Coturnix japonica: one gene and its partners. The protein of the gene in region 4 interacts with the protein of the main gene of each other region in a pairwise test. Links are inferred from orthologs where the notes say so. Each region holds a gene or a part of one and is shown on either strand. Other genes may lie near its edges.

Evidence for each region.
Region 1: the proteins of BYSL (region 4) and HMBOX1 interact in binary tests that used the Homo sapiens proteins (3 or more experiments, as listed by UniProt). The two-hybrid records come from large-scale screens. The link is inferred for Coturnix japonica from reciprocal best matches to the Homo sapiens genes BYSL and HMBOX1.
Region 2: the proteins of BYSL (region 4) and LZTS2 interact in binary tests that used the Homo sapiens proteins (3 or more experiments, as listed by UniProt). The two-hybrid records come from large-scale screens. The link is inferred for Coturnix japonica from reciprocal best matches to the Homo sapiens genes BYSL and LZTS2.
Region 3: the proteins of BYSL (region 4) and myomegalin-like interact in binary tests that used the Homo sapiens proteins (3 or more experiments, as listed by UniProt). The two-hybrid records come from large-scale screens. The link is inferred for Coturnix japonica from reciprocal best matches to the Homo sapiens genes BYSL and PDE4DIP.
Region 5: the proteins of BYSL (region 4) and LTV1 interact in binary tests that used the Homo sapiens proteins (3 or more experiments, as listed by UniProt). The two-hybrid records come from large-scale screens. The link is inferred for Coturnix japonica from reciprocal best matches to the Homo sapiens genes BYSL and LTV1.
Region 6: the proteins of BYSL (region 4) and CEP70 interact in binary tests that used the Homo sapiens proteins (3 or more experiments, as listed by UniProt). The link is inferred for Coturnix japonica from reciprocal best matches to the Homo sapiens genes BYSL and CEP70.
Region 7: the proteins of BYSL (region 4) and MID1 interact in binary tests that used the Homo sapiens proteins (3 or more experiments, as listed by UniProt). The two-hybrid records come from large-scale screens. The link is inferred for Coturnix japonica from reciprocal best matches to the Homo sapiens genes BYSL and MID1.

Annotation. Positions count from the first base shown.
Region 1 is NC_029518.1:96,819,285-96,823,364, forward strand, and holds the start of HMBOX1 (homeobox-containing protein 1), read left to right. Parts: upstream 1-1,280; 5' UTR 1,281-1,582; intron 1,583-1,709; exon of another isoform or gene 1,710-1,729; intron 1,730-1,749; exon of another isoform or gene 1,750-1,917; intron 1,918-3,271; exon of another isoform or gene 3,272-3,903; intron 3,904-4,080. Other genes in the region: INTS9 (integrator complex subunit 9), read right to left, coding at 963-971. UniProt on the Homo sapiens protein: Binds directly to 5'-TTAGGG-3' repeats in telomeric DNA. Associates with the telomerase complex at sites of active telomere processing and positively regulates telomere elongation.
Region 2 is NC_029521.1:20,199,742-20,204,018, reverse strand, and holds the start of LZTS2 (leucine zipper putative tumor suppressor 2), read left to right. Parts: upstream 1-1,477; 5' UTR 1,478-1,697; intron 1,698-1,786; exon of another isoform or gene 1,787-1,879; intron 1,880-2,434; 5' UTR 2,435-2,473; coding exon 2,474-2,905; intron 2,906-3,295; coding exon 3,296-3,865; intron 3,866-4,065; coding exon 4,066-4,277. Other genes in the region: TWNK (twinkle protein, mitochondrial), read left to right, coding at 1-95, 335-595. UniProt on the Homo sapiens protein: Negative regulator of katanin-mediated microtubule severing and release from the centrosome. Required for central spindle formation and the completion of cytokinesis.
Region 3 is NC_029523.1:4,150,917-4,154,416, forward strand, and holds part of myomegalin-like, read left to right. Parts: intron 1-806; coding exon 807-885; intron 886-1,416; coding exon 1,417-1,499; intron 1,500-1,676; coding exon 1,677-1,793; intron 1,794-2,335; coding exon 2,336-2,473; intron 2,474-2,800; coding exon 2,801-2,913; intron 2,914-3,500. UniProt on the Homo sapiens protein: Functions as an anchor sequestering components of the cAMP-dependent pathway to Golgi and/or centrosomes.
Region 4 is NC_029541.1:4,735,776-4,739,855, forward strand, and holds BYSL (bystin), read left to right. Parts: upstream 1-1,280; coding exon 1,281-1,666; intron 1,667-1,747; coding exon 1,748-1,886; intron 1,887-2,093; coding exon 2,094-2,227; intron 2,228-2,413; coding exon 2,414-2,574; intron 2,575-2,779; coding exon 2,780-2,882; intron 2,883-3,013; coding exon 3,014-3,362; 3' UTR 3,363-3,628; downstream 3,629-4,080. Other genes in the region: MED20 (mediator of RNA polymerase II transcription subunit 20), read right to left, coding at 459-712, 877-1,028, 1,173-1,282. UniProt on the Homo sapiens protein: Required for processing of 20S pre-rRNA precursor and biogenesis of 40S ribosomal subunits. May be required for trophinin-dependent regulation of cell adhesion during implantation of human embryos.
Region 5 is NC_029518.1:47,266,620-47,270,567, forward strand, and holds the start of LTV1 (protein LTV1 homolog), read right to left. Parts: upstream 2,801-3,948; 5' UTR 2,557-2,800; coding exon 2,554-2,556; intron 2,412-2,553; coding exon 2,280-2,411; intron 1,820-2,279; coding exon 1,631-1,819; intron 1,471-1,630; coding exon 1,383-1,470; intron 614-1,382; coding exon 493-613; intron 1-492. UniProt on the Homo sapiens protein: Essential for ribosome biogenesis.
Region 6 is NC_029522.1:18,786,337-18,790,635, forward strand, and holds the start of CEP70 (centrosomal protein of 70 kDa), read right to left. Parts: upstream 2,801-4,299; 5' UTR 2,774-2,800; coding exon 2,668-2,773; intron 2,517-2,667; coding exon 2,393-2,516; intron 2,083-2,392; coding exon 1,902-2,082; intron 1,625-1,901; coding exon 1,455-1,624; intron 383-1,454; coding exon 323-382; intron 1-322. Other genes in the region: FAIM (fas apoptotic inhibitory molecule 1), read left to right, coding at 3,509-3,552, 4,083-4,218.
Region 7 is NC_029516.1:112,129,357-112,133,295, forward strand, and holds the start of MID1 (E3 ubiquitin-protein ligase Midline-1), read left to right. Parts: upstream 1-1,139; 5' UTR 1,140-1,296; intron 1,297-3,939. UniProt on the Homo sapiens protein: Has E3 ubiquitin ligase activity towards IGBP1, promoting its monoubiquitination, which results in deprotection of the catalytic subunit of protein phosphatase PP2A, and its subsequent degradation by polyubiquitination.

The DNA of each region.
Region 1 (4,080 bases), on a different chromosome or scaffold from region 4:
AGGCGTGTAATAATCACAGACTGACCCGGGTTGGAAGGGACCTCAAGGATCATGTAGTTCACCCCCCTGCCTAGCAGGGCCACCAAACACTACACATTTACTAGTATCAGGTTGCCAAGAGACCCCATAGGACCCATAGGACCCCATAGACCCCATAGAGACCCCATAGATCAGGTTGCCCATGGCCCCATCCAACCTGGCCTTGAAACACCTCCAAGGACGGGGCATCCACAACCTCCCTGGGCAGCCTGTTTCCAGGGCCTAACCACTCTCCTAGTGAATAACACAGTGCTGTGTCCTCAGCTACGTGTATTAACACTAAAGCAGCAGCTATTTCCACACCGAACCATTGGGGATGCTCCTATGGGACAGCCCCATGTGCTATGGGCCCAAACCCACTGCCTGCCCCTCACCCAACCCCCGAGGGTGATCCCAGCGCAGAGAACACCACCCAGCTCCCCCCATAGCCCCTAGTAGCCCCCCCATACATCCCAATAGCCTCCCATAGCCCCCAACAGCCTCCCATAGCCACCAGCAGCCCCCATAGCCCCCAGTAGCCTCCCATGGCCCCCCAGTAGCCTCCCATGGCCCCCAGTAGCCTCCATGGCCCCCAAATACATCCCAATAGCCTCCCATAGCCCCAATAGCCCTCCATAGCCTCCCATGCCCCCAATAGCCCCCAATAGCCCCCAATAGCCTCCAATAGCCCCCAATAGGCCCCAATAGCCTCCAATAGGCCCCAATAGCCTCCAGCAGCCCTCCACACACCCCAATAGCCTCCCATAGCCCCCAATAGCCTCCCATGGCCCCCCACAGCCCCCCATACACCCCAATAGCCCCCATAGACCCCAATAGCCCCCAAAGACCCCAATAGCCCCCAATAGACCCCAATAGCCTCCAACAGCCCCCCATGGCCCTATAGACCCCCCACGGCCCCCAATGGCCCCATAGCCCCCACTCACCAGCTTCATGCTGCCCGGCTCTATTTACAGGCACAATCCTGCCCCCCCACTTCCGGCTCGCTCCCCCTTCCCGCCGCAAAGCATCACGGGATTTGTAGTCCCCCCGTGATGACGTCATGCCGCCCCCCTCCATATCACCTTGCCGTCCCGTTGCATGCTGGGAGCCGTAGTCCGCGCTCCGCTTCGCCCCGCGCTCCCGTGGTGGCGCCGCGCCGCACGGCACGCTGGGAATTGTAGTCCGTGAGCCGCGGCGCTCCCCGTCACCCTGGGGAGGGGGGAACTACAAGTCCCAGGGTCTCACAGCTGCAGCAGGTGGGAGCTCGGATGTTGATATCAACATGGCGCTTGTCAGACAGACAAAGACAGTCGGTCTGGTGTGAGCGAGCCGGGAGGGGGGGGGGGGAGAAATAAAAACCACCACCACAAAAAAATAAAGCCCAACAGAGAGAAAAGGAGCCGAGGGGGCAGAGAGGGGAGGGGGGGGCTGTTATCCTCGGGGGGCTCCGGCAGCACAGCGCTATTGTTGTCCACGTTCATCTCCCCTCATTGCAGGGGGGGGGTCCCCGGCGGGGGCGGCCCGTTCAATGGTGAAGCGGAGGAACCGCCGGCACCGGGAGTGAGTGAGTGGGGGTGAGGGGGGGAACGGGGGCGGGCGGGTGGGTGGGCTGCCAGGAGGGAGGGTGGGAGGGAGGGTGGGTGGGAGGGGGAAGGGCCCCCCCGGCTGTGTCTGAGCCTGGGAGGGATTCGAGGCGTGAGGAGATCCGAGGGTGCGTGAGGAGGGGGACGGAAGGGTGCCCCCGGATAACAGGGAGATCGCTCTGCTGCTGCTGCTGCTGCTGCTTCGGCTTTTTATTCTGTTTTGTGTTTTCACCCCTTCATCCCCCCTCTTCACCCCCCCATCCACTCCCGGGTGTGGGGAGGACGAAGTCGCGGCGGCGGAGTCCCCTCAGGTTGGGTGGGTGCTGGTTCTTTCGTTTATTTCTTTATTCTTCTTTATTTTTCCGCTTGTTTCGGTGCTGGGACCGCGAACCCCGAGCGGAGCTGGGGGGGGCCCCCCTCCCTCATCCCTCTTTCCCCCTTCCCTCCCCATACCCCCCCCATATCTCTCAGCCCTTTATCCCCCTCTTTTCTCCTCATTCCTTTCCGGGATCCGACCCTTGAGGGAGCGATCACTCATTCCGGGGTGAACCCAACTGTTTTCCTACGGTTATGTGGGGGGGAAAAGGGCATTCCGCCTCCCCCCCCCGAGCTGTGCCGCTGCCGGGGCTTTGCGGGAGGGCGAAGGCGTCGAACCGAAGGGATTCGTTTGTGCGGGATGGGGTGAAGGAGCCGGCGACAAATCGGTCCTAAAACGTGTGAGGAGGGTTTGGGCGGGGTGTCAGCCGCTTGTTTATTCCCTACTTCACGGGGAGAGAAGCTGCGACGCTTCTCTGTCTGTGCCCGGGTTCGTTCGGGGGACCCTCATGCCCCCTTGAGAGCCCGGCATGGCAGGGGATGCTGCCCACCCACCCTGCCCCGCTTCTGGGCTGACCCTACCCGAGTTCGGTGCTGTTTATCAGCTCAGATCGCACATATGAAGCAGGTTGGGCTGAGTTCTTCCACCTCTGGTGGGTTTTTCAGTTGTTTTGCGAAGTACTTCTTTGGAATGTCGTGTTTTTTGTTGTGGTTTTTATTTTACCCTTTTCGGTGGGTCTGAAAAAAGCTGTGGGTGTTCGGTGATGTGCAGGGGTCAAAATGCTTCTTTGGGGGGGGTGGGGAGGGAAGAAGGAAGAGGAAAATCAAGGCTGTAAGCAGACAGCGGAGTGGGGTGTAGCTTAATTTGTTCTCATTGGGACTAGAGATAAGTGGCTTTAAGTACAGCACAGCACGTGAGCTGGAGCTGGGAAGGTTGAAACTTTGTAGGGAGGAAAGTGTTAACGTGACAGCCAGGGCTTGGCGGTGTGGGAGCGGATCTGCTGGATGCCCCTGATCCAACTATATAGGGATGGAGGGGAAGGAAACTGGGGGGGAAAACTACAATTTGCCTGTAAGACAGCACGTAAATACAGGGAAGGGGAAACTGGTGGGGAAAGGCTTGGTGCTGTAGTGCCTGCTTGCATCCCAGCTCATTGCTGCAGGGTTCATCAGGTACATTGCTTTCTTCCTGGGATGGTGTGGCTGCTATTTGATTTCTTCCCTGGATGGGAGAGGAGGAGTCCTGTGCAGTTCTTTTCCCCGAGCTGATTGCATTTGCTTTGGCCTTGCTGTACCCTACCTCATTAGTAGGAACTGCATCTATATTTATTTACCATTACATCGGGTCCCTCGGGATGCTGGGTGTAGTTTGGAGTAGGTATATATGGATTTATCGCTCTCAATATGTTTTTTTCCTCTTGTCATGCTACGGCCAAATCGTTTGAGAACAGGGAACGAACTTCATTTCTTTCTGTGTTTCGCATCAACCTTTTTGCCATTTCTCTTCCGAATCGTTAAGAAAACATTTCTGAGGCACAGGTGGGGGAGGAGAGATGGGAGATAGCAGTGCAGGGATGTGTTTGTTAGCTGCCTATTCTGAGACCTCTGAGTGGTGCTTGATGCTATATCAGCTAACGGGGGTTTGGGATTGTTTTTTCCCACCTATGTGAAGATTATTCCTTAGCCCCATGACCGCCACAACTTTTCTGTATGGTTGATGGGATTGTCTGACGAGCCTGGGCGTGAGATGAGGAACAAGGGAGGAACGGAGGAGGAACAAGGAACTTGTGTCTCGTTCAGCTCTGCCTCGTTCTTCCTCCTATCGTTCCTTCAGCACAGCGCAGGCACCCGAACAGCCATCAGCATTTTTACTCCTGTGTCATCCAACTCTGTTCAGAGCAGGTCTAGACGACATTGTGCTATGCAGACTGCCAGCTGTGTTACAGGAATGCTACCAGAGGTGAAACGGCAGGTTATTTAAAGAATGGTAAGGAAACCTTCAAGGAAATACTGCGTGGATGAGGCCTGCTTATCTCTAGAACTACTTTATTAAGCGGTCTTGAGCAATTCTTTTCTATTTTATTGACCTTTCTAGAAAACACGCATCCCTCCAGTGCTGCGATACGGTAATTCAACAGAACTAGGAGCAGTGTCTGCTGCACAA
Region 2 (4,277 bases), on a different chromosome or scaffold from region 4:
CCGACAACACGTGCCACATCACGCTGGTCATCCACCCGCGCAAGGAGGACGACGAGAAGGAGCTGCAGACCGCCTCCATCTTCGGCTCTGCCAAGGTGGCTCCTCCTGGGCCTCAGGCGGGGACAGGGTGGGGACATTGGCACGTCGCCGTGACCCAAACTGTGCTGCAGTGGGGCTGGGTGTCCCCTGCCATCTGGTGGCACGCGGCTGATTGATGCTCATCAGCTGTGGGTGGGATGTGGCATGAGTTGCTCCGTGGGGTAGCAGGGAGGACGCTGGGTGTGGGGGTGCCCCGTGCCCTGCAGCACCCCCTGGAGATGTTCTCCTCCCCCAGGCCAGCCAGGAGGCCGACAACGTCCTCATCCTGCAGGACCGCAAGCTCACGACGGGTCCCGGGAAGCGCTACCTGCAGGTGTCCAAGAACCGCTTTGATGGCGATGTAGGCGTCTTCCCGCTGGAATTCAACAAGGCCTCGCTCACCTTCTCCTCCTACGGCAAAAGCAAGGCCAAGCTGAAGAAGGTGAAGGAGGAGAAGGCGCCTTCACCCAAGAAGGGTCCCAATGGAGGAGGTGTGGGTGGCTCTGGCAAGCCCTGAGTGTGGCAGGGACAACCTTGGTACTCGGGCACACCAGGTGCCGTGCGGCTGCGCTCCTCCTGAGCAGAGCACGATGCTGGGAGATGGGAGAGGAGTGGATGTGCAGGCTTTGGGGTCTCTGTACCCTGAGCAGGTCAATATAGGGTTGCTAAGTGGAGGCTGATGGCCCAGGTTTACCTCCCGCACGGTGTGGTGCTAGTGCAGCTCTGCCGGCTCTGAGCCCGGCCCCTCTGGCCACATGTACCACCAGCAGCAGTAGCAGCAATGCCTCAGGGACACAGCCCTGGGCGCCTCGGAGCCTCTCATGGCAAAACACTGTGTCTGAGCCAGTCCTCCCCAGCACAGGGGAGCCCGCCGTGGGCTTTTGGCCCATCCCTCTGTTTTCTTTACACTTTTATTAAAGCAGAGCTGTTCAAGCTGTTTGTCCTTCGCTGCATGAGCGTCCCCGTGCTCCCATCCCCCATCCCTCCAACTTTGGGTCCCATTCAGCCCCGTGTCCATGCTGTGCGTGGGGCAGGACGGCACAGCGGGGCCCCATGGCCCCACGCACACACACACCTCCCGCCCCAGCGCTGACCCAGCACCGGGCACCTCCCCGCCACCGCGCCCCACGGCTCCCACGCGTGGGGCCGGGAGGAGGCATTGGCCGCCGCGCCGGGAGCCGGGCCCATGGCGGAGGACGGGGATGTGGAGGTGAGCGGGACGCAGCCCCCCCCGTGCTGCCTGCGGGGCCGTGGTGCGGGCTGAGGCCCTGCCGCCCCCTGAGGGCCCTTCGCTGCCGTCGCTGCCCCGCGGCCCGGCCGTAGGGCAACCCCCTGCCGCCTCCCATCCGCCGCGGGGCCGGGGGCCGGGGGCGGCGGGGCGGGCGGGGCCTGGCGCGGGCCGGGCCGGCGGAGAGCGGCGGTGCGGAGCGGAGCGTGAGCGAGGGCGGCCGGGCCTGGGCCGGAACGGGCCGGTGGGACCCGCGGGGACACAGTGGGGCGCTACGGAGAGGAGGGACGGGGGGGGGCGGCCCTGACCCCGCTCTCTCTTCCTTTTCCCGGCTCAGGGGGCGGCGGAGTCGGGCCGGGACCCGCCGGACGGATGGGCCGCGGCCGGCCAGGTGAGAAGCGGGGCGACCCGCAACGGGAGAGGGGGCCCGGCGTCACCCCGGGGTGATGCTGGGGGCGGTGGAAGCGGGGGGCGGCCCCGGGGCGGTGCCAGCGCGGCGGGCGGAGCGCGGCGGCCCGAGCGCATCATGGGGCGGCCCGGCCCGGGTGGGTCCGGCTCGGCCCGGGGGGACGCGTCGGTGTGGAGCTCCAGGGCGGGGGGAGGGGGCGGAGTGGGGACCGTGAGCTGTGGGAGAGAGGGGTGTAGGGACGGGATTGGGGAGCGGGGTGATGTTGGTGCCGGGGTTGGGGGGGTTGGGGAGGAGGATGCTTCAGGATGAGGTGTTTGGGGCGTCTCTCTGAGGCTGGAGCTGAGGTATGGCAGTGTAGGCAGCGCTGTGGGGCAGAGCAGGGGTGCAGGACCGGGAGCAGTGGGGCAGAGAAGGCACCGTGACTGCTACGCAGTGGGGACCCTGCTGAGTGCATGGGGCTGCCCCTGTGGGGCTCTTCCTTTGGGCCCTGCACGGGAGCACTGGTGCTGCGTGAGCCCCCTGCATGCCCCGTGCCTCCCCCTGCTCCGGCTAATCCCAGCTTTATGCTGTTCTGCTCGACGCCTGCTCATGCCCGGCATATCTCTTGCAGCCATCCCACATCTGCCTGCGCCATTATGGGGGTCCTATATTCATTGGTGTCCTATGGGATGAGTGAGTGAGTTTATTGCTTAAGGCCTCACGTTGCCTTTCTTTTACAGGCTGCCTGCGCCCCCCTGCCCGCTGGGGGCCCCCCTGCCATGGCCATTGTGCAGACACTGCCAGTTTCCATCGAGGCCACGCCTGAGGCTGCTGCCCAGCTCCGCACTGCCACCCGCTCCCCCCTGCCCACCCACGGCACCATGGGCAGTGTGGGCAGCCTGATTGCCAGCCGACCATGCCACGATCGCTCCTGCCAGCCTGCTGGTGCTGGTGGTTCCTTCCGTGTGCAGGATACGCTGCTGCGAGCCAGCCCCCCGGATCCCCTGCTCCACACTTTGCCCCCCAAGAAGCCGTGCTCAGCCACTGCCCATGCCTACACCAATGAAGTTTTTCATGGGGAGTGGCTGGAGGCAGCCTCTCCCGTCAGCCCCTGCAGCGACTCAGACGAGGCACGGGATGAACAAGCCCCAAGTGGTGGCATCCGGGGGCCGCCCCCCAAGCTTGTCCCTGTCTCTGGCAAGCTAGAAGAGGTAAGGTGGAAGCAGTGCTGGGGGATCTGCTCAGCCCTGTGCTGCACTGGGGCTGCTGGGCTTGGGGAGACGTGCTGGTGCATGCATAGAGAGAGCACATGGTCCATGTCGCTGGGGGTGGTGGTGATCTCTGTGCTCCTGCTGCCCTCTTCCTCATGTCAGGAGTGGCCATGTGTGTGTGGGAGCCTGTCTGAAACTGCTGCATGGAGCAGAGGGCACCTAGTGGTCATCTTCTATAGAGCTGTGACACTCTGAGGTGTTGGGTGGGAGCAGAATTGGTGGGGTTACCAAGTCCTCCCTGGTGCTCTGGCAGCATCCCCAGCATCTGCCAGGCCACCTCTGGAGTGTACCTGGTCCCCAGATCCCACTCTCTCCTCTTTTGCCTTGCAGAATGTGGAGAAGACCCTGATCCGCCCTATGGCATTCAAACCGGTGGTACCCAAAGTCAGGGCTGCTCCGGGCCCGGCCAGCCAAGGGGTACGTCCAGGGGCTGCAGCATTATCAGAGAGCCAGGTGAGCCTCACCCACCTGCTGGGGACCACCGGGGCCGACAAGCCTGGCTCACTGAGCTGCCGCACCAGCAGCCACTCAGGCACGCTCTCAGACTCGGGACGCAACTCTCTGTCCAGCCTGCCCACCTACAGCACAGGCTGCAGCCAACATACTGAGCCTGGCAACCTCACAGCCACCCCTCACAGCCACCCTGAGCCCCCAGGTGGCTACCGCCCACCAGCCGGCCCCTCCAACTCGGACAGTGGGCGCTCATCCTCCAGCAAAAGCACGGGCTCGCTGAGTGGCCGGGGCCGGCCCTCCTCCGAGAGTGGCTCCTGCGGGCGCTCGCCGCTGCCTGGTGAGGAGGTTCTGCTGGTGCGTGAACTGGAGGACAAGCTGCGGGAGAGGGAGGCCGAGCTGCAGCAGCTGCGGGACAGCCTGGATGAGAATGAGGTGGCCATCTGCCAGGTAAGAACCATATAAGGGTAAGGAGAACCAGGGGAGCTCTCAGGGCTGGGGGTGCCCATATAGTCCTATTGTGTAGATTTGGGTTATGCATGCAGTGATGTGTCTGGGGAACCCCATGGAGATTGTAGATGCTGACTTGGGGAGACATGGAGGTGGTGTGGGATGTGGGATGTCCCATCTCAGCGTGTGCCTGTGCCCAGGTGTATGAAGAGAAGCAGCGTCGCTGTGAGCAGGAGCTGGAGGGTTTGCGGCAGCGCTGTGCGGCCCAGGTGCGACAGGCGGCCCAGCAGGCGCAGCGTGGGCAGCAGGTCCTGCAGCTCCAGGTGCTGCAGCTGCAGCAGGAGAAGAAGCAACTGCAGGAGGACTTTGCTCAGCTGCTGCAGGAGCGGGAGCTGCTGGAGCGTCGCTGCGC
Region 3 (3,500 bases), on a different chromosome or scaffold from region 4:
GATCAGGCAATAAGCACAAGTGAGTATGAAAAAAATCCACCTCCTGACCTTCCAGCACTGTCCCAGTCCTTCCTTGGGCTGGGCTGTGCTGCTTTATTGTAATCCCCTCCCTGACATTGTCACATTCTGGAGGGGACAAGGGAGCTAATTTTAGGTCTCACTAATTCTTGGCAGAGCCTGCTGGGTGTTTACTGTCTCTTCCACAATTGGGGTTGGTATTTTTAAAGCAGCTTTGCTAAAAAACCCTTTGAGGCTGAGCACAACTGTAAGGCTACATAAGCCCTGTTCCTGCTTGAGCAGCTGTTAATGGTTTATCGGTGAGATGACATGTTGAACGCTCTTAAGCAGCTGCAAGCAGGTGGCTCACTTCTATTCCCAGGATGAAAGTGAGCTCTGGAGACATCCCAATATGTGATATTTGGGCCAAGCTTTATGTTTTCCTACCTGCACAGTTCCTCTGGGCCACATCTTTGGATGAAGATATAGGTCTGTGCAGAATCTCAGTTGAAAGTTGTAGTTGCTTCAGTTGAGCAAAACTTGCTTAATCCTGACTATAATGAAGCTTACTGCCAGCAGCCTCTTAGTGAGAAATAAAATAAGGCTAGAGCCCTGTTGCCCAAACATGCAGCTTCCATCTTGTGTGCAACTCTCTTGTCCCTGCTGTCTGACTAGTTCCTGTTATTGCTTTGTCATGTTTTAGAGGCATCAACAAAGCAGCCAGCAGATTTGCTGCAGTCCTAATGGGCCCTGGGGTAGCTGTGAGGTTCTCTGTAAAGGTGCAAACGTGGAGGTTTTTGTGTTTTCAGGAAATACTGCAAAGAGCTTGTGGAGCTGCAGCCCTTGCTGGACCCCCACAGCAGGACAACAGCTGCCTGACAGAAGAAGGTGAGTGACAGCTTCTCTCAAGGTCCTCAAACAAGTCAGGACTTTTTTGCTGTGGGGTAAGCATGCTTACATGAAGCCATTAGAGAGTGACGAGCTTGGAGCAACAGCAAGTGTGTTGAAATAAAACTGTGCCTCTCCTTTGGATGAAGGTTCACAGATGTCTTGGGGGTGGGTGTGTGGAAAAGAGAGAGATTGATTTAAGGTGAGTTACTTCTTCATTGCAAGAAGTTTTGTAGCGTTCAGGGTAGGGATTTTGACTTAGTGGTTCAGATTAGAATGAGAATAATGCAGCTGGTTTGGGTTGTGCCTTAAGATCAGGACATGTCATATTTGATGGAGTGAAGACAGGAGGCCTGGGGTATTTCTATTGTCTTGGGCTGCTGTTTAAGAATTAAGTAGGGAAGAAAGGTGTTTAAGAAGAGGTGGTGTGGTGGGGAGTGTAATCATTGTGGACTGGTCTAATCTTGCAGTCAGAGGGAGCAGCTGACATATGGTAACACTGCAGTAATCCAACTGTCCTTGCAATTGCAGCATCAGCAGCAGAACTGGAGAAGGATCTTGCTAATGCCAGAGAGGAACTGGAGCTAATGGCAAAGAAAGAAAGGGAGAGCAGAGTGAGTTTGTGCTGAAGCCTGTGGTGGTCTTCCTGCCTGCAGGGAACCCTTGGGCTGTCCCTTATAGAGATTTTGGACCCCCCCTCCCCAACATGAGTGTGCCTCAGTGAGAGATAGGGCAGCACAGTGGGGTTTTACCTTTCTGAAGTTTTTCATACTCTCCTCTTTTGTACCTAGCGGGAGCTTGCTGCTCTCCAGTCTGTTGTGACCACGCAGGAGGAAGAGCTGCAGGTGCAGGCTTCTGATATAGAGTCTCTGACCAGAACCATCCAGATCAAAGAGGACCTCATCAAGGTGAGGTAACATGCTTTGCTGGGTCAGCTTCTTCTGAGATGGCTGCAGAGGTGTCTCTTCTTTCCCCACATCCTGTCCTTCATGGTTACTCATTTCCAATGAATGACAAGACATCAGAAACCAAGCTGTAGGCTTGTTATGATTATCTATGACCAAGTATGTCTGCTAATGCAAGGAACCTCTTCAGAGTAACATGGCTGTTTGTGTATAGTTTTGCTTTTGGTTTGCCTACAGCCCTCCGATTTGGGCCAGAAGTTATGGGCCCCAAATCTTGAGAGTGTCATTATTAGACTTTTTGCTCCTTGCTTGCAACTTTCTTGAGCACTTTAAACAGATGTTGTGTTCCTTCCTAATTCTTGCTTCAAGCAGTTGATTATGGTTAATACACACTGGATACATTGGCATTTCTTTCTTAGGAGACCAGGGTCTTCTCTAACACTGGAAAAATGTTGGTAACTGCATTCCATGGAGGGTCACAAGGTTCCAGCTGTCCTTGTTATTGATCCCTTCTCCACAGATCCCTCCTGCCTCTTGCTTTTCAGGATCTGCAGATGCAGCTGGTAGATCCTGAAGAAATTCCAGCAGTGGAACGGCTGACACAAGAAGTGCTGGTACTTCGTGAGAAAGTGGCCGTAGCAGAGTCGAGAGGACAAGAGGCTACTGGAAACAGAAGGCAGCAGGTAGTGTGTCCTGCAGGGCAAGTTTGAATGTATTTGTGTTTTATCTGGTGCTCAGTTATAGCGCTTTATTCTCAGCTGTTGGATATGCTGAGGTGTGCATGTTCTTTAAAGCTGGCTGCATATAATATAGGGAAAGCAAAGGATTGGTTCCCTTTTTTGTCTCAAGGGTATAGACTTTTGGGGGATGGTGTCCAGGGTTGGCAGTACTTGATTGCTTCAATACAAGCAGGAGAGGTGTTGGTGCATCTGGTAGGGGAGACCACCATATCCCTGAGCAGCCAGTACCTTTGACTTATGTGTTACATCTTTTCTGTTCTCTCTGACCAGTTGTTACTGATGCTGGAAGGGCTGGTGGCTGAGAGAAATCGGCTAAATGAGGCTCTCCAGGCAGAGAGGCAGCTCTACAGCAGCCTGGTAAAGTTTCACACACACCCAGACAGGTAAGCAAAGCTGCTTTGGCTCCATGCTGCCCTGTTTTTTGCCGGGATTTGTGTGCGTGGGCCAGTGGGGCAACTCCTGAAGCAATGATTGTTTTAGGAGTCCAGATCTTAGGCTACCTCTTTTCCTTAAGGAGATTGCAGTGGCCAGCTTTAAATGATACATAACCTCCTCCCGTTGCTGTCTCTTGTTCAAGCCCTGAGGTTTCCATCCCCGTTCCTTGGCTTACTCAGTCCCTGCTCAGTTTCCCACACACATTTGGCCATATTTCAGAGGCTGCCGTTTTCACCCTGCCAAATTCCTCACCAACTGCTGGGTTGATAGAGATGTGTCTAGGCTCTTATCTAGGAGGCTGTCCCACAGTTGCATACCACTGCATTCTTTGTCCTCTGTGCTAATCCCCTGCCCTTCATGGGGCTGCAGCCTCTGGGATATTTGAGCTACCTGACTGCAAGAGAGCACGTACATGAAGTGCTTTGGTAAGTACTGAAGAACAGCTGTGACTAGGGGTCTCCTACCATGAGCTGGAGCCTTTTTTGGGGATGGCTGGGCTCTGGGGAGGCTGTGATGTGAGGCAAGAGGTGTCCAA
Region 4 (4,080 bases):
CAAGCTTAGGGTAAAACAAGCTTCTCTTTAACCCCAGCTCAGCAGCAGCTCGCACCACTACATCTGTGTTTATTCTTATGAAGCAAAACCAAGGCATTTCTCAATCCCATCCCTGTTAGCTCGGAACACCTGCCTGGGTAGATGCGCCATCATTATTAATTACAGACCAGTTAATAGGATTTGTGTGTTTAGGGAAACACATGCTCAGATTTTACAAGACCTTTCAGCACCTCATCTCAGATCTGGGGCAGCACTGACAGCACAGAGCTCTGTGACCAGGAGAAAGCAGCTTTAGAGCCAAAGCTGCAGCAGGAGGGCATTGAATGCATTAATACAACCTGCCAGCAACGAGTAACACAGATGATACATGGAAGGGATGGGGACTCAAGGTTTCTAGCCAAGCCTCCAACATGGGATTTCCCTGCCCTGGATTTCATACCCTTAAAGGTGATTCTCACCTCCACGGATATCCCGCGGGCGCTGGGGCCCATGGTGACGGTTCCCACCTTGACCAGGAAGTCGCAGTACTGGTACCGCGTGCCCCGGCTCTCGATCTTGTTTGCCTTGGCGTTCTGGAAGAATCCCTTCAGCTTCACCATCAACGTGTCGAAGTTGGCGTCCGCGATCAGGCAGGGCCCGTTTTCAAACAGAGCGAAGCAGCTGAGGGGATACTCGGAGTTGTGCATCACGTACATCAGTTTGCCCGTCTGCCCTGAAAGAAAAGCAGCGTTTGGCCCGTTCCTTTGACACCCACCCTTTAAACATTCGTATGGGTTGATAAGCGCCCCCAGCCCCTCTCAGCCTTCTCCTCTCCATGCTGACCAGCCCAGCAGATGCCCCATGTCCGCACTACACCCGCCCCCCCCGGGTTCCCACCTTGGCTGCTGATGGCGGCTGCCGTGTGATACGTCTCACAGTCCACCCCGAACGCTCCGTGTTTCTCGGCTCCCAGCAGCTCCAGCTTCTTGCTCAGCAGCTCCACGGTTTGCTGCACGCTCTTACCCTCCAACACGGGCACCTGCGTCACGCTGCGGGGCGACAAACAGCAAAAATGGCCGCGGGGCCTCCACAAAACCCAAACCCAAACCCAGCCCCAACCCCATCACCCCATCACCCCATCCATCACCCCATCCATCACCCCATCCATCACCCCATCCCCACCGGCCCCTCACCAGGTCACCCCCATGGCTCCGTCCCGGCAGTGGCGGTGCCGGTACCGGAAGGGGCGGGGCTGGCCGTGCTGGCGCCGGCGCGTCTGATCGCGTGTCGCTGTTGCGGCCATGCCGAAGGCGGCGCGTGTGGCGGAGCCGCTGCACGAGCAGATCCTGCGGGCTGCGGCCCCCACGGTGCGGAACCGGCGGGCGCGGGACGCGGGGCGCGATGCGGAGGAACGGGACGGCGGATACGTGGGGCCGCGGTTGTCCCGGCGCATCCTGCGGGAGGCCCGGAGGCAGCAGGAGGAGCTGGAGGCCGAGCACGGCCCCGGGGCGCCCGCACCGACAGCCCCGAGCGGGCGCGGGTCGGAGGAGGACGATGAGGACGAGGAGTGGCCGTCACTGCAGCGGGCGGCGGAGTGGGACGGGACGGGCGGCGGGGGGGACGTGCAGGTGGATCCCGAGGACGAGAAGGCCCTGGAGATGTTCATGAACCGCGCGGCGCCGCTCAGGTACCGGAGGAGGGGTGGGAATGGGCGGGGGGTGGACGGGGAGCTCCGGTTCCCCATCACCGACCCCTGCCGCCCCCCCAGGCGGACGCTGGCGGATGTGATCATGGAGAAGATCACGGAGAAGCAGACGGAGGTGCAGACGGCGCTGTCCGAGCTGTCGGGCCGCCCCATGCCCCAGCTCGACCCCCGCGTGATAGAGGTGTACAGAGGCGTCAGAGAGGTGAGGGCACTGCGGCCCCCCCGGCCCCACACACACCTTTGTGGGACCCCCCAGCTCCCGGCGGAGCAGTGCAGACAGCACTGCTGTGTCCCTCGGGTGTTGTGAGCACATACGTGCTGTGTGAGCACACGCAGTGGAGCTGCACAGGGAGCAGACAGGTTGCTTACAGCCTTGAGACAAACCCTTCCCCCTCTGCTTCCATTGAAGGTGCTGTCCAAATACAGGAGTGGGAAGCTCCCCAAGGCATTTAAAATCATTCCTGCCCTGTCCAACTGGGAGCAGATCCTCTACATCACGGAGCCCGAGACGTGGACGGCAGCAGCGATGTACCAGGCCACGAGGTGGGACCAGCTCAGTGTGCTCTGAGCTGTTGTTTTCTCCTTGTAATGGAACGAGATGGACAAAATACCATCGTGTGTCCTACAGCTGCTCCTCCTGCCCTGTGCCTGTGGAGCAGAGGGGATCCTGATGCTGGGGGTGGATGGCTCTGGAGTCACAGCTCACTCTTCATGCTTTGCATTTCACAGGATATTTTCATCCAACCTGAAGGAGAGGATGGCCCAGAGGTTCTACAACCTGGTGCTGCTGCCACGGGTCAGAGATGATATCGCTGAGTATAAGCGCCTCAACTTCCACCTCTACATGGCTTTGAAGAAGGCTCTGTTCAAGCCAGGAGCCTGGTTCAAAGGTAGGGGCTCCCTGCAGGGCTGCACTCCACCCCTGGGAACCTGCTGCAGGGCAGGGCAGGGGGAGGAAGGTGGAAAGGTGCCCATGATGCAGAGATGTTATTTCCTTGGGTTAAATGTGCCCTGAGAGAGCAGAGATTGAGCCTCACACCCCACAGCTCTGCCTGCTGCAATGACCAGTGGTGCCCAGCTCTTCTCTCCCCACAGGGATCCTCATCCCCCTGTGTGAATCGGGGACCTGCACACTGCGGGAGGCCATTATCATCGGCAGCATCCTCACCAAGTGCTCCATCCCTGTCCTGCACTCCAGGTAATGCACTGGGGCAGTCACTGCCCCTCAGCCCATCCAACAGCTCAGAGTGGGGGAGCTTTGCTCAGGGCTGATTCAAAGCCGTCCTTTTTGTGCCCTGCCCTCACCTGCTGCTCCCCTTGTCCCCACAGTGCAGCCATGCTGAAGATTGCTGAGATGCCATATAACGGTGCCAACAGTATCTTCCTGCGGCTGCTCATCGACAAGAAGTACGCGCTGCCGTTCCGTGTGGTGGATGCCCTGGTCTTCCATTTCTTGGCCTTCCGCACAGACCAGCGCACGCTGCCCGTGCTGTGGCACCAGAGCTTCCTGGCTCTTGCCCAGCGCTACAAGGAGGACCTGTCCTCGGAGCAGAAGGAAGCTCTGCTCGAGCTGCTCAAGTTCCACAGCCACCCACAGATCTCAGCCGAGATCCGCAGGGAGCTGGTGAACTCCAAGACACGGGACGTGGAGGGGCAGGAGCCGGCAGTGATGGAGTGAGGGGAGGAAGGAAGGAAGCACCACAGCCTGGCCTGGCTCCTGGGGGCTGCTGCACAGCTGGGAGCAGCACGTCCAGGGGTCTGGGAGCATCCAGCCCTGGGATCCCACTGCTCATGGTGCTGTAACCACGGGGCTGGGCTGGGCTCCCTGCGCTGCTTGTGTCAGGGCAGCCCTACAGCCCTGGCACCCAGGACAGCAGTAGGGCTTGTCCTGCTCCTGTTCTGGAAAATAAAGCCCGTGCTGGGTCCTTCCTGGAGCAGCTCTGACCTGCAGTTGCATCTTTGTGTGGCTGCATCCGTGCATCGTCCTGCCCTGTCCCCCTCCCCTCGTCCTGTCCCCAGCAGGGGGCAGAGCAAAGCCACCAACAGCGGCTCCTTGCAGCACTGCGCTGCAGCTGTCCCGGCTGCAAAAGGAGACCAGGGGCTGTGCAACTCCCTGCCCTCCTTGTGCTCTGGTCAGCAGCGAGCACGTTCCCAACTGTGCTGTGCATTAAGCAGCCTCTGTGATGTTGGGCAGAGGGGCTGGGGTTAAACATCTTCCTGTGAGAGGTGGGGGCAAGGGGCAAGGCCATAACCCACACGTGGCAGCTGCCTTGAAGTGCCACCTCTGCTGTAAAATCCAGCGGGGCATCGCACAAGGCTCCGCGCTTACCTGGGTGCTCACCTGGACACTACAGCTCCTGCAGATGTCCAGCTCCTGTCCTTGCTCCTGGAAGCAT
Region 5 (3,948 bases), on a different chromosome or scaffold from region 4:
GTTCCCTGACACAACTGCCTAAAAGCTGAAAATGATTCTGATAGCTGTGGATCACACACCTGCACACTGACAGCAAGGATGTGTTCACATTCTACTGTGCTTATCAAAGTAGAAAAACACCAGACTCTTGAATAGTAAATGCTGTAAAACTGATCACTGCTATTTATCTTTCATAGCATTTTTACAAAACAGGAAAAAAATAACATGCACCGTGGCAATATGCATTTCCAAGACCTTCAGAAAAGCTTCACAAGTAGTGATGTTGATGAATATTAACTTGTAGGGTCAAGGTAGCAAACAAAACCCATCTCTTGACTTGGATATTTATTGTAAACTTGATTATTATTATTTTAAGCTACCACCCACGTAACACATACCTTTGACATAAACATACTAAGCCTGAAACTTGCTTCCTACAGCAACATGCAAAATAACACACAGTAACATTAGTATTCATTTGTGACACAAGCAGTTCCCCAAAGCTTTACATACCCCTCCTTTTGTTTGTTTGCTTGTAGAACAAAATCATCGTCCAGAACATTTTCTGGATTATCAAAGTCAAAATCATCATCAAGAGCAGCAACAATATCAGGGTCAAAATCCAGCCGTGGTCCTGGAGAGAGGAAAAAACTTACATATGTAAGTTGCCGTGACATCCCAAAGCCACCTTCCTTGATAAAAAGCAATTCAATTTGACTAGCAGTCACAAGTTTCACTGGTAATGTTTGTAGATTTGATACAAATTAACTAGTAAGTCATCAGCCTCTTGGTTTTCCTCATCCAGAAAAGAACATCCCCCAAGATGTCTTAGGCATACAAAAATGTATTTTAATCTGTTTTAACACTATCAAGACTATCAACTTTAAGTATTATTACAAAAAACAACAACCTTAGATAACTTGAAAGTGAATCTTTAGTACAGTTCAAACATAGGCACACAAAGAGCACTCTTTTAACACTGAAATTAAGCTGATGAAGGAAAGTAAAAGTATCTCAGCAACTGAAAAGAGGAATTCTGAGAATGAAAATCCAGTTACACATTTGCATTCAACCGATGGAGTCAAATCAATAGCATTACCTACATAATATCGTTAGTAGTGAAAGAAGCCTTCCCCTATTATTAGTTTCTATGTGCTAGATAATAGCAATAACTTGTGATTTTTTTCCTCCCTCTATGCAATGCTTAAAAGCAATTACTACTGACTGATAGAAGGAGGTCTCAAACAGAAACACAGGTCTGATAGAGATCATCCTTGTTATCTGCTCTTGAGTCTGTTCTAAACAAAACAAAACAACTACTGCTTTGTTTACAGTGCTGCTAATTACTGAGTATTACCTACATGGCAACACCTGTTACAGAAAGGCACAGGACTTTACGGTACCTGAAATAGGGGCTGCTTTATTTAGCAGGCCCACATTCTCTTCAAATTCAGTGGCAAATACTGAGGAAGGCAACTTAATAGATGGAGCCTAAAACAAACAAACAAAACGTTAGAAGTGACTGACGGGCAATTACATACTTAACTGCTTGAAATTATTCAAGGATTTTCCATTCCAACATGATCCAGTGTCATGAAATTCCACAAGTTTGACCAGCAATTACCTCTCTATCAGCAAAAATACTACTTACAGCAATTCGTTCAATTTCATCCTCTATGTGCCCCTCACTTGTGATGACAATTCTGCTTTGCTGTCCACGGAAAGAAGGGACAAGCTCAGAGGGGCGAGATGCTTCTTTCAAATGCTGCAAGTAGTCATAGTCATCATCAAAGAAGACTCCATATTTCCGCTGCTCCTCCCTCCTCTGCTCCTCGTGACCCTTGAAATTGTAAGGAAAAAAATACAGGCAGTTATTTAAGTCCACTTAAAAGTCAGCAAAAATAGAAGTAATGTCTCCATTGTCAACACCCAAACTCATAAAAAGGAGCATAAAAAACAACAAAAAAGCTCACAGAATGGCTTCAATTGAAAGAGATCTTAAAGATCACCCAGTCCCAACTCACTGGCCATGGGCAGGGTTTCCAGCCCACCAGTTCAGCTGCCCAGGGCCCATTCAACCTGGCCTTGAGCACCTCAAGGAATGGGGCACCACAGCCTCTCTGGGCAGCCCGTGCCAGTGTCTCACCAGCCTCTGAGGAAAGATTTCCCTCCTAATGCCTAAGTGTGACTACATGCCTTCATCTTTCATTCTCTGCTATGAATCATCCAGCTGCACGCCACTTTCCCCCCCTGTAGCTCCTGCCACATGGGCAAACCCCTTATGACAAGCAGGCACTTACCCTCTGGGCAGGCAGCAGGACCCTCTGCGGGGCCGTATCATCAGCAGCGAGGGGGTCCTTCTGGCTTCTGTGCACTAAGTGAAACGTTACCGCCTTCTTCTTCTCTATGAAGGGCTTCTTCTTCTTGTGAGGCTGCAAAGGGACGCTTAAGAATCATTAATAAGAAATGAACGATTAAGCTCATCCAGAAAGAACCCTCTGCTCGGGCTCCGCTGCCGTACCCCGCATACCCGAGGCTCTCCCGCCCCCAACCCCACAGCGACCACCGTCTCACCATGGCCTAAACACAACCCCGACACAGCCACCTCCACACACGCTCACACAGCCCGGCCCCACACGGGACAGATGGGATGTGCGTGAGGGGAGCAACCACAGGCCGCAGGGGGATGTAGTGGGACCGTCGTTCCAAAGGGCTCTTTTATTCTTTAGTAAGAACACCAACGAGCTTGCTTGCAATAGGACTTCGTTTAAATAGAGAGGCGGGTTCTAAGAACGCACGTAGGGTATTTCTCCGCCACCCCACGGGACGCATCTCCCACTTCGTCCCCTACACAGAGGAGATGGTCCATCCCACCAGCAATGGCGGCCATAGGGCACGGCACACGCGCAGTGTCGAGCTGCCATGATGGGGCGGAGCGCTGCCGTGTGTACCTCACAGCCATCCCGGCTCCCCACACGTCGCTAGGTGTCCCCAGCGCCCCGCCTGCCCCATTTATATGTATTTATATACACATTCACACGTATCTATAATGGAAACAGCCAAACATTTGTCTAAGGCACTTGGAACTGTGCACTGTATCCTACAGTACTGTACAATTAGGCAGCACACAATGATATTTTTCTTTATGCACCATAGAACAAGCACAATATATCACCTCTGTGAAAAAAAACCCACATAATACACGTTCTATTCTTTCTGATGACAATATCAGAATAAATCTGTGTGTGTGTGTGTATAGGTACATGCTACAGTACAGAAGCCGTAATTAATTCATAGCTTTTCCAGTTATTTACATTCACAGGTATCAATACACAATGTCAGACAAGTCACGCTGCTCAAATACAAGTAAATGCATTTGGTTTTTAATTACATGAAATGCTCACTGCATAATGCTCAGCACTGAGCAGTGCCCTGTCCCTAACCAGCCTCAGCTCTGACACACAAAACAGAAGTTCTTTGAAGTCTCATGTCTGAAGTAAAGTTGGGTCTATGAAGCAGGTCATATTAATACTGCCAGGATTTATTCAGAGTAAAAGCGGTTGGACATGATGTTCTTTATAGGCCCAGTCCAACCAAACCTATTCCATTCCATTCCATTCCATTCCATTCCATTCCATTCCATTCCATTCCAACAACAACTTGTTCCATCTCCACACCCTTCCCAGCCCTACTCACACAAAAGTCCACTGAAACAACCAATCGGTATCTTTTTGTTTTGTTTAAAATCAGACCAGCTAAAACAATTGTCCAAAACACAGTATTTCTTTAATTCCCCAATTTATACAGGTCTACAAATCAGCATACCACCACAAAATGTAGTGAAAGGAAAAGATACAATCAATAATGTTTTACTATATCATAACAATGATCAAATATGGTTAAATTTGACATGGTATTGGGGAATTTACTTTTGATTTAATCCTCAAATCTAGATAATTTACTTGTCTT
Region 6 (4,299 bases), on a different chromosome or scaffold from region 4:
AACGGGTGAATTGTGCATAGCTAATGCAGTAGTGCTGCCTGTAAACCTCTACAAAAGGGAAAGCCGAAAAACAAACAAAGGATTATAGCTCATGTGTCTAAATACAATGCCCTCCTGGCTGTATGGCCTGACTGCGCAGCTGCTCAGACTGAGAGAAATTTCCAGGATTAATCCAAACTTCCAAGACTATTACAGTGTTTGGCTGTTTCTTATGTTTTAGTGACATCTAGAAAATAGAACATTTGCCATTCCAAGCTTTAAGAACAACAAGGAGAAAGAAAACTTTTAGCAGTAGGACCACAAGGCATTAGATGAGACTCACCGTAGCTCCTTTTTCATTTGATTAATTTGAGATTCATAATAATCGATTAGACAAAGAAACCTGAAAAAGGAAAAATGGTATTTTGAACTTAAGATATAGTTACCAATCTATTGGAACAGGATAGCTTACACAGCTACACTGTATTTTAAAAGTGACTGTTTCTCCCTTATATCAGTCGCAGTTTTCCAAAAAAAGAAATATAGAGACATTAAATGCCTATTAGATTACAAGTGGCAAAATGACTCAAGAGGAGACAAAAGCTAAATCCTCCTGACAGCCCTTACATCTCATGGCTATGTTCACCCAGCAAGCTTAACAAGCTGTCACAGTCTTAAGCTGTAGGGCTGCACGGACCATTGGAGGTGATATAACAGAACAGGTCACACACAGCCTAAGAACTTCCAGAGAAACTACAAGTGCTTTCTAAGGAAATGGCTGCAAGGAAATAAAGCCATAGAAAAACGTATAGGTGAGAAACAGCATTTCCTTTTGAACCACTCTGAGATTTTCTGTTTTGTATGTACAGGTGAGAAATGTCAGGGAACGAATCTCAGAGCTTCTTTTTTTGTTGTTTAATGAGGGCATAAGAAACAGAGAGAGGCACACAATCCCTCTAAAATTTCTCCTAGGTAAACATCCTAGGCAGACCTGGATGGACCAGGCCACACCAGCACAGTAAGGCAACAGCCACCTGAGGCCTAGAAGCTGTCAGCTGTCTCTGACTATAGCTGAAAAACAGAGTTACTGCAGGACATGTAGGCTTTCAGAACATGCACAAAGTGCCTGGAGTTTGCTTGCAGTCAGCAGTCACAAAAGCTGTTTTCCCGAGCTGTCTTTGTTGTTGTTGCTTTTTTGCTTTGTTATTTAAATTTACATTCTAAACGTTACAAGTCCCAGAACAAAATCACTGTAGCAGATGCAGTTTCCAGAATAAGCCATTCCGCCCTCTTTGCTGACACCTAGTGGATACAGAGGCCGAGAATTTTTACCTTCTGCCATGCATTCATTCAGCTTGCACTAACATCTCCAACTTGTTTTTTTTTTCCCATGTAAGTATCAAGAACCGTCACTTTAAAATCCATTTATTCATTTAATGTTACAAGTCATTCACCAATATAACAAAATTCCTTACTGCTGATCTAGAAGGGACTTGGGAGCTCTCTTGCAAAACCGGCAGAACATTTCGGTTTGAGTGGCAACACGCTGCTGCTCCTCCAGCCCAGCTTTGCACAGCTCCCTCTGCAAACGGGCAATAATCTCCTCCTGTTCTTGCAGCTTTTCCTGCTGCTGTTGGTATTTTGCCTGTGAAGAGATAACAGGAGCATTCTGAACTGAACTCACAGGCTGGAGATGGTGCTCCACCAACCCACACTTGGTGCTTGGTCCCAAGAAAGCTTAATCAAACAGCCAGTGGAAGAAGGGTTCATATATTTTTTCCAATTTATTACTAGAAAATTATTTGTAAAACATAAAATCAGCTACAAATAGCATATGAAGTTTGACATGAGACTTGTATTTATTTGGACCAATGTGAGCTTTCAAAAGAAGTCAAAAGTTTGAGTGCTGCAGACTGACTTACCTGTGAATCCATCTGTTCTTTATGAAGTTCTTTGACCTGATTCTGTTGCCGGCAAACTTTAGCTATTGTCTCATCTTCCAGCTGACGGATTTTTGCCTTAATGCTTTCCACCACGTTTTCCAATTCATTAGCCCTTTCCTCTTGTCGAGATGCCCGACCTCGTTCCTGTCGTACCTCATCTCTAGAAACACAAATCTTTGATTTAAATTAAACTCATTTCACTAAATGCACTGCAAGAAGCACAGGCCTGGCAAATATTATCCGATGGTGCCCAGTAACAGCCTGCAGCAGCAGGCACAGGAAATATGCCACTATGGGAAGCAAGAGCAGATGCAGTTCAGACAACAGCTCAAGGAGATCTGGGCCAATATTGCTGCATATAGCACAAAAGTCTCAAGAAAAAGGTCTCTGGCTTTGGATGTGACAGAAAACGGGCAGCAATAGTGCTTTTTGCTTTGCACTACCTGCAAATTCCCTTCACAGCACCTTACCTAAGATTACGATTAGTCTCCATAAGCCCGTACATCATCTTCTGTTGTCGGTCGGTGTCTTCCAATAACGTTTTTAATGCAAGTCTTATTCCCAGAGAGGCCTGACTGTCCAAAGCAATCACATCTGGAAGCACACATCATAAAACAACGCCTTAACCAAAAGCTTTTGGTACTTGAAGATGGCATCACCGTTACTGTATGGAACCGATGGCTTCAGCAGCACCTCATGACTTCATGTCTGCTGCCCAAGGACCTCCACCACCAGCACTCCTTACCTGGGGTGTTTATGGGCACCATTCCATGGCGTAACAGCAGCGTGTTGAGGGTCTCCCATTCCGTTTCCTCCTGCTGAAGCTGGGAAGAGGCAGAAACCTGAGGCATGCAAAAGGCACGCTGACGCTCCGGGTAGAAGGGGAAATGGATGCAGTGAGCCGAATTTGTGCTTTCTGAAGAGCCGGACACGCTCTGCTTTGCTTCGGCGCCCTTTTGTGTCACTACCGCGATACTTCCGTCATATTGAGCCGCCAAGGGAAAGGAAGAGCAGGCAAGGAAAGTAAGCGGCCGAACGGGCGATGAGGGCGGGCTCTGAGCCGTGGGGCGGTAACGGTCAGCGCGGGGAGGCGGGCAGCCGCCATCTTGAGGCGGAGGGGAGGAGGGACCCGCGCGGCCGGAGCGGGGCAGGCGGGTAGGAGGGGGGGGTGTGGGTGTGAGGGGTTGTGAGGATGGCAGTGAGTGATGGGGGAGGGAACGTCGCGGAGTAATGCAGAAATAAAGGCTGTGGCTGTAAACTCGCTGTAGGACGAGTTCAGGGGCCTGAGTGGATGTTGGAGGCGGTTTGAGTCCTGGTTGGTGGCTTTGGTGTTGGTGCTGAGCCTCATGGAATGCGGGTGTGTGGTTCCCTCACAGCTGAAGGGAGAGATGTGGTTACAGGACAGCCGTGCTCTTCATTCGTCATTCGTGCTCTTACACAAAACCAGTTTGTGTCCGGAAAATGATGTTTGTGTCACAGCAAACAAATCCGTTAGTCATAACTCCATCCATTCTCAGCATTCCTAGCTGCTATCCTGCTTTTCTTCTTTTCTTGCTGCTGGTTGGATTAAAAGCCCTTTGTTTACTATGGCATCCCGCGAGGAGGTTACCCTCAGTGAAGAAGAAGTAAGGTAAAACAGCAGAGCTGCAGCCCGTACGGCCTTTGGAAAGATATCCCCCACTGCCGTGGTCACTTATGGCTGTACCAAACATTAAACGTGTTCTAAATGGAAGGATATCTTTTCCAGTCTCCTTCCCTGTGTGTGTTTGTGTGTGCAGAGTTGCATTCCCAAATGATGTAGGTAATATTTCTGCTAGAATCAGTAGGTGATGAGCTTATCTGTTACAACTACTTCTCAAGTTCAGAAGGCTGAAGGGGTTACTCAGAGAGCAAATGAAATGCTGCATTTTAAAGCCTGCTTAAATTTACCCGCAAGGAACATCTGAATCCTAAGTACAGTTTTAAACTATACTGCCCCCTGAACTGGAAGCTCCGGAGTTTGGATGGGTATATATCTTTGTATGGTGTTTGTCAGAGCGAGCCTGCTTACCTGCCTGCTTTTGTGATGTTTTGTCATATTTGAATGATTTTAAAAGCAAGAACGTGCAAGTAATTGTGTAAACTTATGACAATTAATTGACTTTGTTGGTGTTTCCACAGGTCTCGGTACGGCCACATAGAGAAGATGACAGATTTGGTGGCTGTTTGGGAAGTAGCTTTAAGTGATGGCGTTCATAAAATTGAATTTGAGCACGGGACCACTACAGGAAAGCGTGTCGTCTATGTTGACGGAAAGGTGAAATTGCTATATGCTCAACATTCACTGTAATACGATTATATAAGTGTATATCCATAGAGAAGTCATCAGAACAAACAA
Region 7 (3,939 bases), on a different chromosome or scaffold from region 4:
GGTCTAGAGGTCATCAGGAAGAGGATTTTGTCTCTTTTCTGTCTGAAGTTATAAGGGATACATCCGAAGGAACAAATGAAAGAAGGGAAAAAGAAAAAAAAAAAAAAAAAGATACACTTTATAGTTCAATGTACTGTTTTAAAACATCAGCTTTTCATCACTTGATCAAATCTTTTAACTCTTATTTCTTGTTTTGGTTTCATTCACCCTTTGTTCTACTTGCTCCTTCCTGTCTTTCGCTCCCTGTCCCTCTCTGCCTATGTTAGTGTTGCGGCTTGTTGAAGGAGGGCCATAATGAACAGGGGAATCTTGTGTGAGTAGTATAAAGGGAAATGAGCAGCATGATTTTCCCTACGGTTAACTGATTGCTTCTTGAAGACATCTGAGTTGATCTTGCAGAAGGGGTTTAGTGAGCAGTGGATGGGCAAGAGGAGTCAGGTACACCTCTGCTCTGCAGAGTGCGGTGTGTGCTTGTTCTGGGTAAGCACCCTATCCATTTATCTCTGTGTGGGTGGGTGTGTCTGTTAATGTATCACAATCACACCTCCCGGACTAAGACAGGTCTATCACCAGAAGCTCAGCTATTACATTGTCTAGAAAAGGAAGTAGGAAACAGTAAACAACCTTGGCTTGTACTGCTTCTTTTCTTTTTTTTCTTCCCCATTGACTGCAGTGTCGCAACTCTTTTTCATGTAACGTTTGATATATGGCAGCCTTTTCGCATAGAAAACTGATACAATTGGAATTAATTTAATGCTACCAGAATGTGCGTGCGTGTTACCTTTGTGAACCCTTGTGCTTTTCTTGGAGTCAAAAGTATAGGCTAAGGCAGGTGTCCTGCAAAAATATCAAGTGTTTAACGTAATAGTGACATAGCACTCACTGTTGCTATAGATGTAAGAAATGGAATAACTTCATAGGTGCTAAACTGCTGCAAGGAACCCACTCTCCCCTCTGGTGACACTGAAGTGCTACGCAAGCAAACTTCAGGCAGGCAGCCCCATTTGGTATTTGTGGAGTTAACAAAGTTAAGCTCTCTCCCGGCTAGCCTCTTCCACTAGGAATGCAATTAGTGTTCACCTATATAAGGAAACCTGCCAGGCGGCGGGGCTGGGGCTGGGGCTAACTCCGCGCCCAGAGAGCGGCACTGCGCGGGCTGGACAGGGCTCGGCGGCAGCAGCAATAGCAGCGGCAGAGGCAGCAACAGAAGCAGCAGAGCAGCCCAGCGCTGGGAAGGACTATCCCGTTTTCTTCAACTTCAAGACGAGGAGGAAAAGAGCAACAATGGAGTGGCAGGTATGTCGGCACGGAGCCCTGAGGCGGGAGGGTGGGAGAGAGGCTCGGGGGGTGCCTGCGAGACTTGTTCCCGCAACTGCTGTTCCCCCCCTGAAATGGCTTGCTGGATTTTAGAGAGGCTGCAAAGCAAAAGCGTGCTTCTTGTTTGCAGCAACATCTGTACGCACGATTACATTCACTTATCTGACGTTCTGTGCGCTTCTAATTCACGTACACCTTTTTACCGGGGTGATAATCAAACTTTCTTATCTCTGATGGAAATCAGATGTGTGACTGGAAATGAGGCTGAGATGCTTTGCTTAACTCTACGAACCTCTGCAAATGCGGAATTTTATGGTACTGTCACGTCTGGAGAGCAGTCCTTCACTTTGTAGCGTGAAACATGCCTTTTGTGAAAGGTGTGCTCCTTTAGCCCTTCCGGGATCTCAGTGTTCTTTATTGTGATGTGTGTGAATGCAGCCCAGTCAGCGTAGCTGGGATGCGTTTGCTGGAATACAGGGAGTTCCTGCAGTAATAAAGCTTTTTCAGTGAGTTAAAAAAACAAACTGCAGGTTCTGCTCTAAGAAATGTAAGCAAAACTTGTTCTTCTACTGTTAGAGATTACACCAATTCACAACAAGGATGTGTTGCCTGGGAAATATTTGCACATTCTGTTAACCTTCACAGGAGGTTCTGTGTAAAATCCTGACTGAGAGAGTGAAAAGAAGGGGAGGAAAAGTTTGTTCCGTGTAGATATTGGTGAAGACATAATAAAAAGTCAAGTTGAAAACTTACCTCAAACAGCTTTCTAGTTGGAAGAATGCTGCTATGCAGTCCTTCAGGATAGTTAGCCATTAGCATCAGCCAGCACGTGAGTTCTGTGGCAGCTCACTCAAGTTGTGTGCAGTTAGGGTATAAAAGATAGCAATGAAAGAATACTTTGAGTTATTTCTCTGAAAAGTGCCTTCTAAGGAGAAACCACACAGAACTATTCAGCAACAGGTGGAGTTTATTTTCAAAATGCTTTTGTTATCTTAGCAATTGGTAGACATAACAATGCTTTTCACTAATTTTCATTGTTAATCATATTTAAGTGGGCGTATGAGTGATAATGCACTAGTTATGGGAGTTTCAGCTCTATCTCTTCTGAGGACCAAAGTATGAAAGTAAAGTACAGTCTTACTACTAAGGGCTTAAAAGCTTAGAGTGAAGATTATTGTTATTTAAAAACTCATAAAGTTTTTACATTTTTCTGAATGAATGTCTACTTGGAGTCTGTAATGCGACATTACTAAGGAGGCATCAGGATTGTAATTCACCTGTGTTGATACATGTTCTCATTCACTTATATGCATGGCAATCCTATTGAGGAATCAGTGGGAATGACACACACCAGTAGTTTCAGTAGAGCATTTTATTGGAGCATCAACATGGCAAAGAAGGTATACACTAGACAGTGCTTCAGAACTGCAGCTAGTGAGTTGATTGTCATGAAACATCTTTGGTCTTGGTGGAAGGCAGTACAGCAAATACAGTACCAGTGGACCAGAACCATGCAGTTCCTTTGTATCACTTCTCATCCTTGTGATTTTCAGTTCATATCATACAATCACAGAATCATTTGAGTTTAAAGGGATCCTTAAAGGCCACCTAGTGCAACTCCCCTGCAATGAACAGGGACACCTACAGCTAGATCACGTTGCTCAGAGCCGAGTCCAACCTGACCTTGAGTGTCTCCATGGATGTGGCATTCACCACATCTCTGGGGAATATAACCTTTATTAATGTTAATTGAGTGGAAGCACAGAGGATAGATTTTAGTAGGGTCGTTAGTAATTGAAGTATGAATTTAAAGGGCAGGATAAGGCACTATATAAACTTACTCTTGAATCTCCTTTCCCCTAGCATATCTAGTAAATTACATTGTCCCCCTTCATTTGGCATCTAGCTGTGCTACAGTCATTCATGGTCTTTCGGCTTCCCAGTGCAAAATGAGATAGAACTCTGATTCAAAGCCTGCACAGAATCTTCTGGGCTGGCATGAGCTTACTCTAGCCCCGGGTCTGGGGTCTGGAGCTCAAGCCTTATAAGAAACAGCTAAGGGAGCTAGGAGTCTGAAGAAGAGGAGGGTCAGGGGAGACCTTATTGCTCTCTATAACTACTTGAAGGGAAGCTGTAGTGAGCTGGGTGACAGCCACTTCTCTTGTGTAACTAGTGATAGGACTAGAGGGAATGGCCTCAAGTTGTGCCGGGGGATATTCAGGCTGGATGTTAGGAAGTATTACTTTTCTAAGAGTGGTCAGGCACTGGAATGGACTGCCCAGGGAGGTGGTGGTGTCACCAATCTTGGAGGTGTTCAAGGAACATTTGGATGTTGAGTTGATGGACATGTCTTAGTGAGGACTATTGGTGATGGGTGGATGGCTGTACTGGACGATCTTGTAGGTCTTTTCTAACCTCAGTGATTCTGTGATCTGATCAGCAATCTGTGGCCATCCTGGGGCTGGTCCCAACTGCAGGCTTTTCCAGGGAGATGGGCGGCAGTGTGGGCACTCATGTTCTTTGCCATGAGGTTTCTTGTACCCTCCTCTGCCACCCAAAGCATATGTAATGGGGCAGCTGCAAAGCCTGTGCTATCACACCAGAACCTACCAAGAACTAGGA